Bombyx mori: one gene and its partner. The protein of the gene in region 1 binds, or shares a complex with, the protein of each later gene. Links are inferred from orthologs where the notes say so. Each region holds a gene or a part of one and is shown on either strand. Other genes may lie near its edges.

The links.
Region 2: vacuolar protein sorting-associated protein 51 homolog (region 1) and vacuolar protein sorting-associated protein 54 share a complex: the UniProt entries of both Homo sapiens proteins name them as parts of the golgi-associated retrograde protein (GARP) complex. The link is inferred for Bombyx mori from reciprocal best matches to the Homo sapiens genes VPS51 and VPS54.

The regions. Positions count from the first base shown.
Region 1 is NC_085115.1:1,407,662-1,413,311, forward strand, and holds vacuolar protein sorting-associated protein 51 homolog, read right to left. Parts: upstream 3,697-5,650; 5' UTR 3,327-3,696; coding exon 1,227-3,326; 3' UTR 895-1,226; downstream 1-894. Other genes in the region: uncharacterized protein LOC101737848, read left to right, coding at 4,489-4,663. UniProt on the Homo sapiens protein: Acts as a component of the GARP complex that is involved in retrograde transport from early and late endosomes to the trans-Golgi network (TGN).
Region 2 is NC_085118.1:10,581,505-10,587,174, forward strand, and holds vacuolar protein sorting-associated protein 54, read right to left. Parts: upstream 3,633-5,670; 5' UTR 3,474-3,632; coding exon 3,379-3,473; intron 3,099-3,378; coding exon 539-3,098; 3' UTR 169-538; downstream 1-168. UniProt on the Homo sapiens protein: Acts as a component of the GARP complex that is involved in retrograde transport from early and late endosomes to the trans-Golgi network (TGN).

The DNA.
Region 1 (5,650 bases):
CGGGTGTAAGGCTCCCGACAACAAAGACAGGTGGTGACTGATGATTCCTGAATAAGAAGTGTGGATATAAAATTAGCTAAGGCCACAATATCGTGATCATGTGCAGAACTTGTTCTAGTACATGCAGGATTTACTAGAATATACTAGACGGAACATACTAGAATTCGCATACAGAAACTACAAGTATTTACATATAGCTGAGCAAAATTGTACCATAATTATTTTTACACTAGCGTATTATAATGAAGTACAGGGGCAGTGCCCGCTAATTAATATCCTTAAATTATGCATATTTTTCGTGTGCTAAAGTTTCCTTTTCTAAATCGGGATTCTTACACTCTATATGTAAACAGATTAAATATTATTTACTATCCACTGAGACTTTCTGATCCAATTCATTAGGAAATAGTGAATCTATTGCAATAGTAAATTTCACGGTCTAGTTGTATCCATCAATTAACATCAACATGATTTTAACTTCAAATCATTATATCTTCAATACGTCACCTGTTTATAGATTCAAGATTAAGGATGAAATATCTGTTGTTGCCAATAACTATCATTACCTACTTATCTTTTTTTTTCTTAATTAATACATCAACCTTGATCATTTACCACTACGATGAACTAATCTAAATGCGATGATCATCATAATTTTTTTAGTGAACTAGGACCAAAATATATAAATAATGTCTGTTTTGAATAGTATATTAAAATGTTTTTAATTTTAATGATGTTTATCTACGTGACTAACAAAAATGCAAAAAACAGAGTAGCAGTCTTGTGAGATTTATGTTTTAGAAGCATTTAACATGAAATTTTATAAATGTAGATGATATTATTTTTAATATGATGCAATTTTGATTAATGGGTTATAAATAAAACTACTAAAAGTATAAATAATTGTTTGTTTATTTAATACTAGCGACCCGCCCTCGCTTCGCTTCGGAAACATTAAAACACACATGAAACCAAAAAAAAAAAAAAAAAGTAGCCTATGTTCATCAGGGACAATGTCGGCTTCTAATGGAAAAAGAATTTTTCAAATCGGTCCAGTAGTTTCGGAGCCTATTCGAAAGAAACAAACAAACAAATCTTTCCTCTTTATAATATTAGTATAGATAGTATAGATTTAAGATTGGTATTTAAGTCCCTAGACTAATCTAAATTTGAATCATATGATAATTAAGCCAGTTTTATCAATACAAGCATCATGTTCTTCTCCTTCAACCTCTTTCACAAATAATATCTACAATACTAGGTTCCATTAGTTGTGGGTCAACGCATCTCAACTGTGCTGATGCTAAAGCATCTTCAAGCAAAGCATTTAGAAGCCTCTCATCATTGCCCATACATGAAAGCCTTTGCTGTAGAAAGTGAACATCAACTTGTAATTGCTGTAGGCCATGCCTTCCAAATGTGCGTAGGCGCACACATTCAACTAATGCTTTCAAAGCTACTTTTAGGGCACCATTTGATAGTGCAGCTCTGTCTGCCCCTGCAGGACTAAACACTTCAATTCTTTCAGAGAATATCCTATTAAGAGGTGAAAAAGAAGAAGGAGCACGTGACCAAATAGTACGCCGACTGGAGTCACTAGAAGGTTTAATACTAGTTGGAAACAGTTGAGATGCAGCACCATCAGCACTAGCTAAGGTCTCCACTACTCTTCTGCATACTGCTCTTGGCCCCCTTGGTTCTGGAGCTCGCAACCAATCTCTAGCTAATACAGATACTCTCAACATTTGGGCTGCAGTCTGGCCAATAAATACAACTTCTGAATCTAGTGCAGTCTGCGCTGCAGTAGATAAGTGGACCATGACACTACTAGTATCCTTGTTATCCACAGTGAGGCCAGGAGCAGCCTCTTCTAAGAGTTTGAGAAGATGGTTCTGTAATGTCGAGACACCAGTCTCTTGCATATCCAAACATAGCTTAGCTAGTATAAGTAGCAATTCAAAAGGAATGTTGTTATTTGAAGTCTGAAGGCAAGCCATCTTTTTTACCAGATCAGAAAGATTAGCCATAGTTTCATTTATGACTTTTGAGCAAGCATCAGCTACTGCTTTTGCACACCAAGGTTTTAATCCAAATGATAAATTATTTTGTAAGAATGCCATTAGATCTAAGAGTGAGGCTTGGATTTTTTGCATCAGATATACTTGAAGGGAGTTCAGTATATCTTTTAAGTCAATTGTTTCTGATCCTTTACTGGCCAAAGACTGCCTTACTTTCATAAGACTGTCTTTAAATTGAGTCTGTATGCTCTGGTACTGTACCATAGCCTTGTGATTTATACACTGAATGACAACCTCAGTGCCTTTACTGGACATCATATCACTTGATGATATTTCGGTCATAGCCTGGAGTTTTCTGAAGAATTTATCAAGGCCCCTTATTAACATTTCAGTTCCGTTGTTCTCAGGTCTTTTAATGACCTCTTCGAATAAATGAAAAATTTGAATCATTATTTTATCAGCAAATTCGGGTATGATAGCTTCCTGTTCGAACATTTCATTGTAACATGATATTATAATAGCTAAATCAGCCAACAATGTATTATTGCATTTTTCTACCCAGTCCAAAATGTCTGTATGTTCAGCTATAGAACTGAGCATCTGCAAGTGTTTGTCAAGACGACTCTCTGCACAACTAAGGAATATATCTTGTAAGGATGAATCACTTTCTTGGAGCTGCCTTAAAAGGGCTACACTTTCAGCAAGTTCAGTTGCAGATGTATTAGGACTGATAAGTCTTTCACGGAGTGTCTTCTTCAGTTCAAATATAATTTCTGAACACTCAGTCTGTATGCTTTGGAATGAAGGCTGATTGCCATATTTTTGGAGTACTCGCTGAGCATGTGAATAGTCTTGTACAGCATCACTGTATCTGCCTTCTGCTATTGCTTTGTTAAGTTGAGAAGGTAGAAGGAAAAGGAACTGAAGTTTATCTAACAGCTGTCTTGTACCACACAAACGTCGAACATTATTACCGCTGCCTTGGAGATTTTCAGATATTTGAGAGCTGAATGTAGTTATTTTATTGATATTCTCGCTAAGTTTATTCATTTCTTCTTGCATTATTTTAAAATCGGAACGCATTTTGCGTACAGTTTCGGTCGCCGAAATAAATTTATTATAATTTTCATAAACCAATGTCTGCATTTCTGATTGTAGAAATTGACTTTGAGTTACAATTTCCGCTTCTTTGTCCATTACTTGCTTTAGGGTAGCGCATTTTAGAAGACAATCTAAGTAGACGTCTGGGCTGAAACTACTGCTGTCGATGTCCAGAGGATTTTCTTTAACCGCTTTGGCTTCCTCCATATTATGTACTTTGTTCAATAGGTATAAAAGTGATTCGTTTAAAGCTAATCTCCTTAATAAAATATATTTGCGGTTTATTGGTTCGTCTGCAATTCTAATTTACCAAAGAGAATAACTATTTAGAAACACAACATTTCAGCTGCGAGGACTGACGTCGATAAGACCTTATGAGAATGAGAACAATTATGTTTATTTATACTATTTCCTACTTTACTAATACTCCGTCTTATAAATGCAGTTTTAGAATAAACATTAAAGCTTATATATTTTATTTCTGTATATACAATAATGAACATATGTATACATTGTATACTATACATACATATAGGTATGTACGTTTGATAATATTTCCCCATTTTTTTAAATAATTTTTTCTGGCTTGGAAACAAAGTCTTTTAAGCCAAATTAGCTTTTATTATTAAAATTTATGCAAGGTAATCTTTATCATACGTACTGCTATGTACTGCGTTTTTTGAATATTTTATGACTGGCCTGGTAACAAGACCTTTAAGCGAAGTACTCAGTACTTACTAGTCCACTGAGTTTCTCGCCGGATCTTCTCAATGGGTCGCGTTTCTGATTTGGTGGTAGATTTTGCAAAGCACTGCTCTTGCTAGGGCCAGTGTTAGCAACAGTTTGAACCGGTTTGAACCCTGTGAGCTCACCACGTCAAGGCGAAGCTGAAATAGCCTCTCAAAGCTATCAGCATTGGTAGGGAAAAGTACTTATATTCATTTTAATTATATTACTTATGAGCATACACGGGTAATGCACTAAATATAGAAAAGAACCACGGGTACTGTATTATTTCCTATGGTAGTTCAGAAGATCCATGGTGGAACATCCACGCAGCCTTCCTCTTCTTCTTATTACGTTATCTCATGTTATTGCCCTTATCTCACTTCTTTTAATTCTCTTTTAATTCTTTTAATATATCCCATCGCTCCTTTTGAGTTTTCTGACAACAGCCAGCCTTTCATAACAAAATATTTGGTTGTATAGTCAAATATATCTTTGCCTATAATAACGAATCAACCAAAAAAATATATTTTGAAGTTTGTGTGTTTAAATTTGAAAACTTTCTGTTGCGAATTGTTTTGTGATTTTTTTGCTAAAATACTTCTCATATACAATAGAAAACTTGGGAGCAAAAAACGTAAGGATGGCTCCTCGAGATGTCCCCAAACCTACGCCTAAAGTGCAACGAATTGTAGGGAAGACTAATCAGACTAAAGGACGCGCTTCGCCTGCGTCTGTTAAGAAAACGATGTCGTCTATCAAAAAGGCGACTGACAAGATACCTTTAAAATGTAAGATTCCATTTTTACACTCTCGAGGTGAATCTATTCAATATCTCTTCCTTAGGCTTGAGGTTTGAATTTCCAAAGATTTCTCAACGGATGTTCTTCAATTCCGAGAGCCGTAGGCCTTTAATTAAAATTTTTTTTTTTAAATCTCGTTTAAAGTTTTCATTTTATTATTTCCGACTTTTAGTGATCACAAACGGCTTATGTATTATTCGCCAACATTTGCATATTGCTCTAAGAACGATCTTATCAAGAGAATCAAACTTGAAATCCTTAAAATGCAAATTGTAGTTCCTATTTACATCCGAGGACGTCGTGTATTAAAACCAAATAACATAAGTAGCAACTGAAAAATTCAATAACTACTGTGATATCTTGGAAATTTGTGTCCTAAGGAAAGCACTAAATTTGTCAAAGTCATATGGAATGGAAATGAAATAAATAAAAACAAATAAATAATTTCTAAGGCAAGGCTGAAAAGGCACTTAGAATACCTGACTTAAAAACTTTAAAGTCAGGTATTTCTAAGTGCCTTTTTCCTTATATTTATTTTTGAATAGACTCTAATGAAGGCTTCATGCCTCCAAGTGGTCTCTGAGCTCTTACACCCAATATATAATATGTAAAAAAAAAACTAGTAATTACAGTCAAAATTTGTTATAACGACGTCGAAGGGACTGCTTATATTCAGTCGTAAAAACCGATAGTCATAACAACTGGTGATGTTTAATGTGTATCGTGCAAGTACAAACAAATTGATAGGGAATTATTGGAAAAATATATTTATTCAACTATGTACATAAGTACAATGCTATTTTTCTGTGAGCATAAAATCTGCAATTTTGGTCTGTTTGGAACACTTCTGCTGTGCATAGATATTTTGTAATTCACGTTGGATTTTAATTAACGTATCGTCATAATTGCTGTGGATGTGTTCATTAAAAAGAACAATCTTTCTTAATACACTAACAGCATTGATACCATCATTCAAAGTTGGTACAGTAAATTGTTCTTCAG
Region 2 (5,670 bases), on another chromosome or scaffold:
CCTGTACAAGATGGTATTCCTTACCTCTACCCTCCATAGTTAAGCTATACCAATAGCCGTCGTGTGTTGAAAGCAAAAATCTCAGAAAATCTTTACTTGGATTCGTTTAGGATTGTCAGCTATTTTATCCTTTTTTTGTTTAAATATACTCGAAAAAACACATCTGAATTAAAATAAATATTTATATTAAAACTTAAAACACTTGAAATAAATACATGTTAGATTAATAATTTAAACTTTAGATTAAATACCTATCAATCGCATCTCCATGTTCAGATTGGTTATCTATAGTACATAATATGATCGCCTCTAAAGATTCTAATAAAAAATGACAATAGCTTAATCATCGATTTTTTCAAAACCGATAATTTTTATTTATTTTGCTAACTAGTTCTGAAATAAAAATACCTTTTTGGTTTGTTTCTACAATTGCATTTGAGAACAATATTTCATCATCATAAAGTATTTTAAGTAGAAGTGATGACTTAATGTAATATTTATAAATAGATAGTTTTCTTTACATAAAATATTGGAAAAGTTAATTTAACCAAACGTCATATAGTATATTGTCTTCTGCATCATTATCGTTTATAACTCTGAGTGTCTTTAGAGTTTGTAAGTAAAATGTCAATTCAGAAGTCACTACACCATGTTGGGGGCTTCCATTAGCAACTATATTCATTTTAATTAGTTGTTCTCTTAATTTATCTTTAAAATTATCATGTACTCGTTTGTATATAAACTTTATTTGTTCAGGTGGCAAAATATCAATTAATGCTTCATGTAACTTCACTAAATGTTTTGAAATATTGCGGAATGTTTGAGAAGGAACTGGGGGCTTTGCATCCCACCCTGTTAATTGAGAACATAACATATTACTTACAATTAAGCAAATCTTATTTTCTATTTCCTGTTTATGGCTAGCAATATCACTCTCAATAGCAACAAAACCGCTCAATGATACCTCAGAAGAATGTATTTTCTCTAACAGCTGTTTTATCATAGGTAAAAACCATAATATAACCTGTAAAGATCGAGATACTAGAGCTAAATTGGATGTAGAAATAGTTTTAAGTCCAGCACTTTGTATTGCCCCTGCACCGAGAACAAGTTGGCAGCACCGAGAATTAAACAATCTTAATAATTCTAACATACAATGAACTAAATACTGAACTATAATGGGAGATTGTCTGGTTGCATCACAGTATTCCAATAAAATTTTTATAAGTAGTTGAACTGTCCCTACCAGAGCATAGCTTTCTTTGTTTATAAAAAGATATTTTCCGTCTGGTTTCCCACTTTCATACAGTAAATTAGGAGGTATTTCTTGAATTTCACATATTTTTGTGATTGCACTTTGCAATTCATATGGAACATCTGCAGTTTTCCATCGTTCAGCATTTAGAGAAGCTGTTAATTGAGATCTGCGTTCAGTGTGAAGTGTCTGTATATACTTCATAGCAAAGCTCCTTAGAGCCAAATTCATGGCATTACTACAATATCCGGTTACATCCTCACATTTGGTGCAAAATTCTTTAATCAAATTTGATAGGAGAGATAACTGTGACATATCAGAACACACATAATCTTTGTCTGTTTTAGTTACAATTAGGTTAGCACATCTTTCATTGCAGTAATCTGACAATGAAACAATCATTTTTTTCAATTTGTCTTCAATAGATGTCAATTCTTCAGCTGACCAAATCTCTTCATTATCACTCCCATTAACATCTTCCATTTGACTTACATCTATAATCAAATTTGTTAATGATAGTATTCTTTTAAATAACATAACTAAGTTTGGAGTCACTTTTTGCAAAAATAAAATGCCTTCGTTGCACAATAGCCACATGTTATCTGCATTTGATCCTCTTAAAACAATTTCAAAACAACCATCTCGCTGTGAAATAATTTCAATTACTGATTGTTTTATTGTAGCTTGAATAGATGTCATAGCTTCCATTTTAAATGTGTCTAGAAAATCAAATTCTTTGAGACGAAGAATGCCAGAAACAATTGATATAATTTTATCTTTTTCAGGAATGTCACTTTCATCTATTAGTGGTCTATTTAAGTCACATACAATGAATTTTAGGAATTCATTACTTAACATTTTATGAATTAACCTTTTCATTTCAGTTAATTGTGGAGATAAGTGTCTAAATGCCTGTATGCCTGTAAGTCGAGTTGACAATACTTTTTGTGTAGAGCCTATTAAATCCAATGCAGCAACATAGTCCGATGTACTGAGTAATAGCTGAATCATAGGTTGAGTCTGTTGTACTGTTGACATTAGCTTAAGAATTTCATGAACATGACCAAGATTACAATTTATCCTAGTTAAGCTTTTTAATTTCAATGGACATTCAGTCAGATTCTTTTTAACTTGGTTAATATGTTTTCTTGTTTTCTGAACAGTATTGACAGCTTTTGCCATCTGTTCCATTATTGTATCATGTGAAAGCATAGCATGAAAAAATGCATCTGATCTTTGTGCTACTTGCTTTGAAATATTCATTTCTATTACATCCAGATAAGTGCTCAATGTTTCTTGCAGAGATCTTATAGCTACATCATTATCTACAGAACTACAAAGGTTTGGAAAAACTTTACTGAAAACCACTGGATCATTTAATGGCAAACCTGGTTCATAGAATATATCTGGTATTTCACAATCATTTTCTATGATTGCAGTTTTATTTTTAACTGGCAAATTTTCTTTTAGTCTTAAATGTCTTCGGTACCTCTTAGCAATTTTTTTACAATAAGATTCAAAATGTGTCAATGTTACATCTGGTAAATAAGGACTAGGAAGTATATCAATTTTATCCACAAAGCTGTCACCCCATGTTTTCGTGAAGAAATTGCTCTGCTTACCTCTATTCGGATCATTCAGTACTGCAGGGAGATTTTGTGAAGAAGAATAGAATGTCCAAGACTCATTAGGTGTCCTGGTATATGTATGATATTCTCGGATGTGGTACTTAAAACCAGCTTTCCGTAAATCTCCAAATTGTAATGCAGAGCACATCCCATTTTGTCCATATTGACAAAGGATTATGGTTCCCTCTTTTATGGAGTGCTTATCTAGTATATGTCTGTAAAATAAATATTAGCATATAAGTATTGGGCTTACAAAACATTTAGGAATATCTATAGAAGGGTATATCGCTAGCCATTTCAAACAGCAACTTTTGTGAACATCCATATCATTCATCTGTATTAGCCATATATACTTAATGTATTTGCTTTTACGTTCAGCGAGCGCCGAGTCATTAACTAAATACCAAATCATAGAGCATAGCTATAGGTGCCGACGTCGCTTAATTGAATAAGATGAAGATCACTTAATTTATAAAATAAGTCTTAATTTTAAACCTTTCAAATTCTGCTGCTGTGCTGAAAACAAGGCTGGGGCAGTGTGAACAGTTTTGCCATGCTGGATTCGTGCTTGATGATGAATTTTCCTCCATAACATTTTTAGTATAGATTGATTTCTGTATGTATAAGTACACTTTTCTTTATGAATTTCGAATATTGACTCTAAGAAAACTTGAACTTAGGCAAAAAAATAGCTACATTTTTTTTAAAAACTGATGACATGACATCTCGTTTGATAAATGTTAAAGTGACATTGACATTTGAATTGTTGTCCCGTTTTTTGTTTTTGGAGGCAAAGAAAATATAGCCCATACGTTTAAAATCTCTAAAAGGAACATTTGAAGCCTAACATCAAAAGTGAAAGGGAACCGCATTTGGAAGGCTACCTGGAAAATATCACTTTAAGCGGAAAGGAAGCATATTGCAACATTTTTGTTAATTGTCAAAAACCTTAACCATCGAATGACCGTTCCGATATCGAGTCGAGGGAACGCGCTCTCGCCCCCGTCACGTAACAGCCGGAGTCCCGCAAGGCTCCGCCCTCTTCCGTTATTGTTCAATTTGTATATCAATGATGTACCCCGGTCTCCGGAGACCCATTTGGCGCTCTTCGCCGATGACACGGCTATCTACTACTTGTGTAGGAAGAAGTCGTTATTGCATCGGCGACTACAGACAGCAGCTACCACCTTGGGACAGTGGTTCCGGAAGTGGAGCATCGACATCAACCCCACGAAAAGCACAGTGGTGCTCTTCAGAAGGGGTCGCCCTCCGAATACCACATTGAGCATCCCGCTCCCGACCAGACGCGTCAACACCTCCGCCTCTGCCATTCGGCCAATCATGATGTACGACCATTACCGAATCCTGATCATGCAGGATCTAGTCACCGTCGACGCCCTAGACACGTCCTTGCGGATCCATCAGATCCAATAACCTTTGCATTAGACGCCTTCAGCTCTAACACTAGGAGCAGGCTTAGGGACCCCGGTAACCGCACTCGTCGAACTCGACAAGGAGGTCGACGGGCAACCTAACCCATGCATCAGCCCGCTGTCTTTCTCGCCGGATCTTCTCAGCGGGTCACGGTTCCGATCCGGTAGTAGATTCATTCGCGAAGCTGCTGCCCTAGAGTTGTTAGGTCTCCTTTGGAGGCGCTTGGGCAGCTGTTAGCAAATCCCACCCCTCCTGGCTGAGCCTTTGCTCGCCCCCCTGGTGAAACTGGAAAGGCCTCCGGGCTACCAGTAATCTCTCAATCATAAAAAAATGTACGACTAACTCATACCGTGGGCCCCGAAGGTCAAATACTTAGGCGTCACCCTCGACAGATGGATGACAGTCCGCCCCCACTTAAAGACGGTATTCGACCGTGCCACCTTCATACTAGGACGCCTCTACCCGATGATTTGCAGGCGAAGTAAATTGTTCCTTATAAATAAGGTGACACTCTACAAAACTTGCATACGCCCCGTCGTGACCTATGCAAGTGTAGTGTTCGCTCACGCGGCCCGCACTAACTTAAAATCACTCCAAATTATTCAATCCCGTTTTTGCAGCATAGCCGTCGGAACCCCATGGTTCGTCAGGAACATCGACCTCCATGACGACTTGGACTTAGAGTCCATCAGTAAGTATCTACAGTCGACATCGATGCGCCACTTCGACAAAGCGGCACAACACGACAACCCTCTCATCGTGGCCGCTGGTAACTACATTCCCGATCCTGCGGACAGAATGGAAAGCAGTCAACGAAACACGTCATTTCGGATCCTCCCGATCCACTAACGGTCCTTTTAGGTACCTCAAGCACCGGCCATCGTTCTCGTCGATCCCGTCATTTGCGACGAAGGGCTCGACGAGTAAATTAACCCACAGACACAGCCCACTGAGTTTCTCGCCGGATCTTCTCACTGGGTCGCGTTTCCGAATCGGTGGTAGATTCTGCAAAGCACGGCTCTTGCTAGGGTTCGTGTTAGCAACATAGTCAGGTTTGAGCCTCTTAGGAAAAAAAATCGAAAGACTTTATTTAGCCTTTACTTTGAATGGTGTCCAATAAAAGATTTCTTTTGAAATGAGATTTCGGAATGAAATGAGAAGGTGACAAAGGAAAACGAGATGAACTAAGTGAACTTTAGGTATTGTATGAGATGAAATGAAATAACTCTTGATTAAAATAGTGGTAATTTACAGAAAGTTTAATTACTCTTCAAAAGAAGTGAAGTTTTTTATTTTGTTTTTTTTATTATTGTTAAATTGGTGGACGAGCTCACAACCCACTTGGTATTAAGT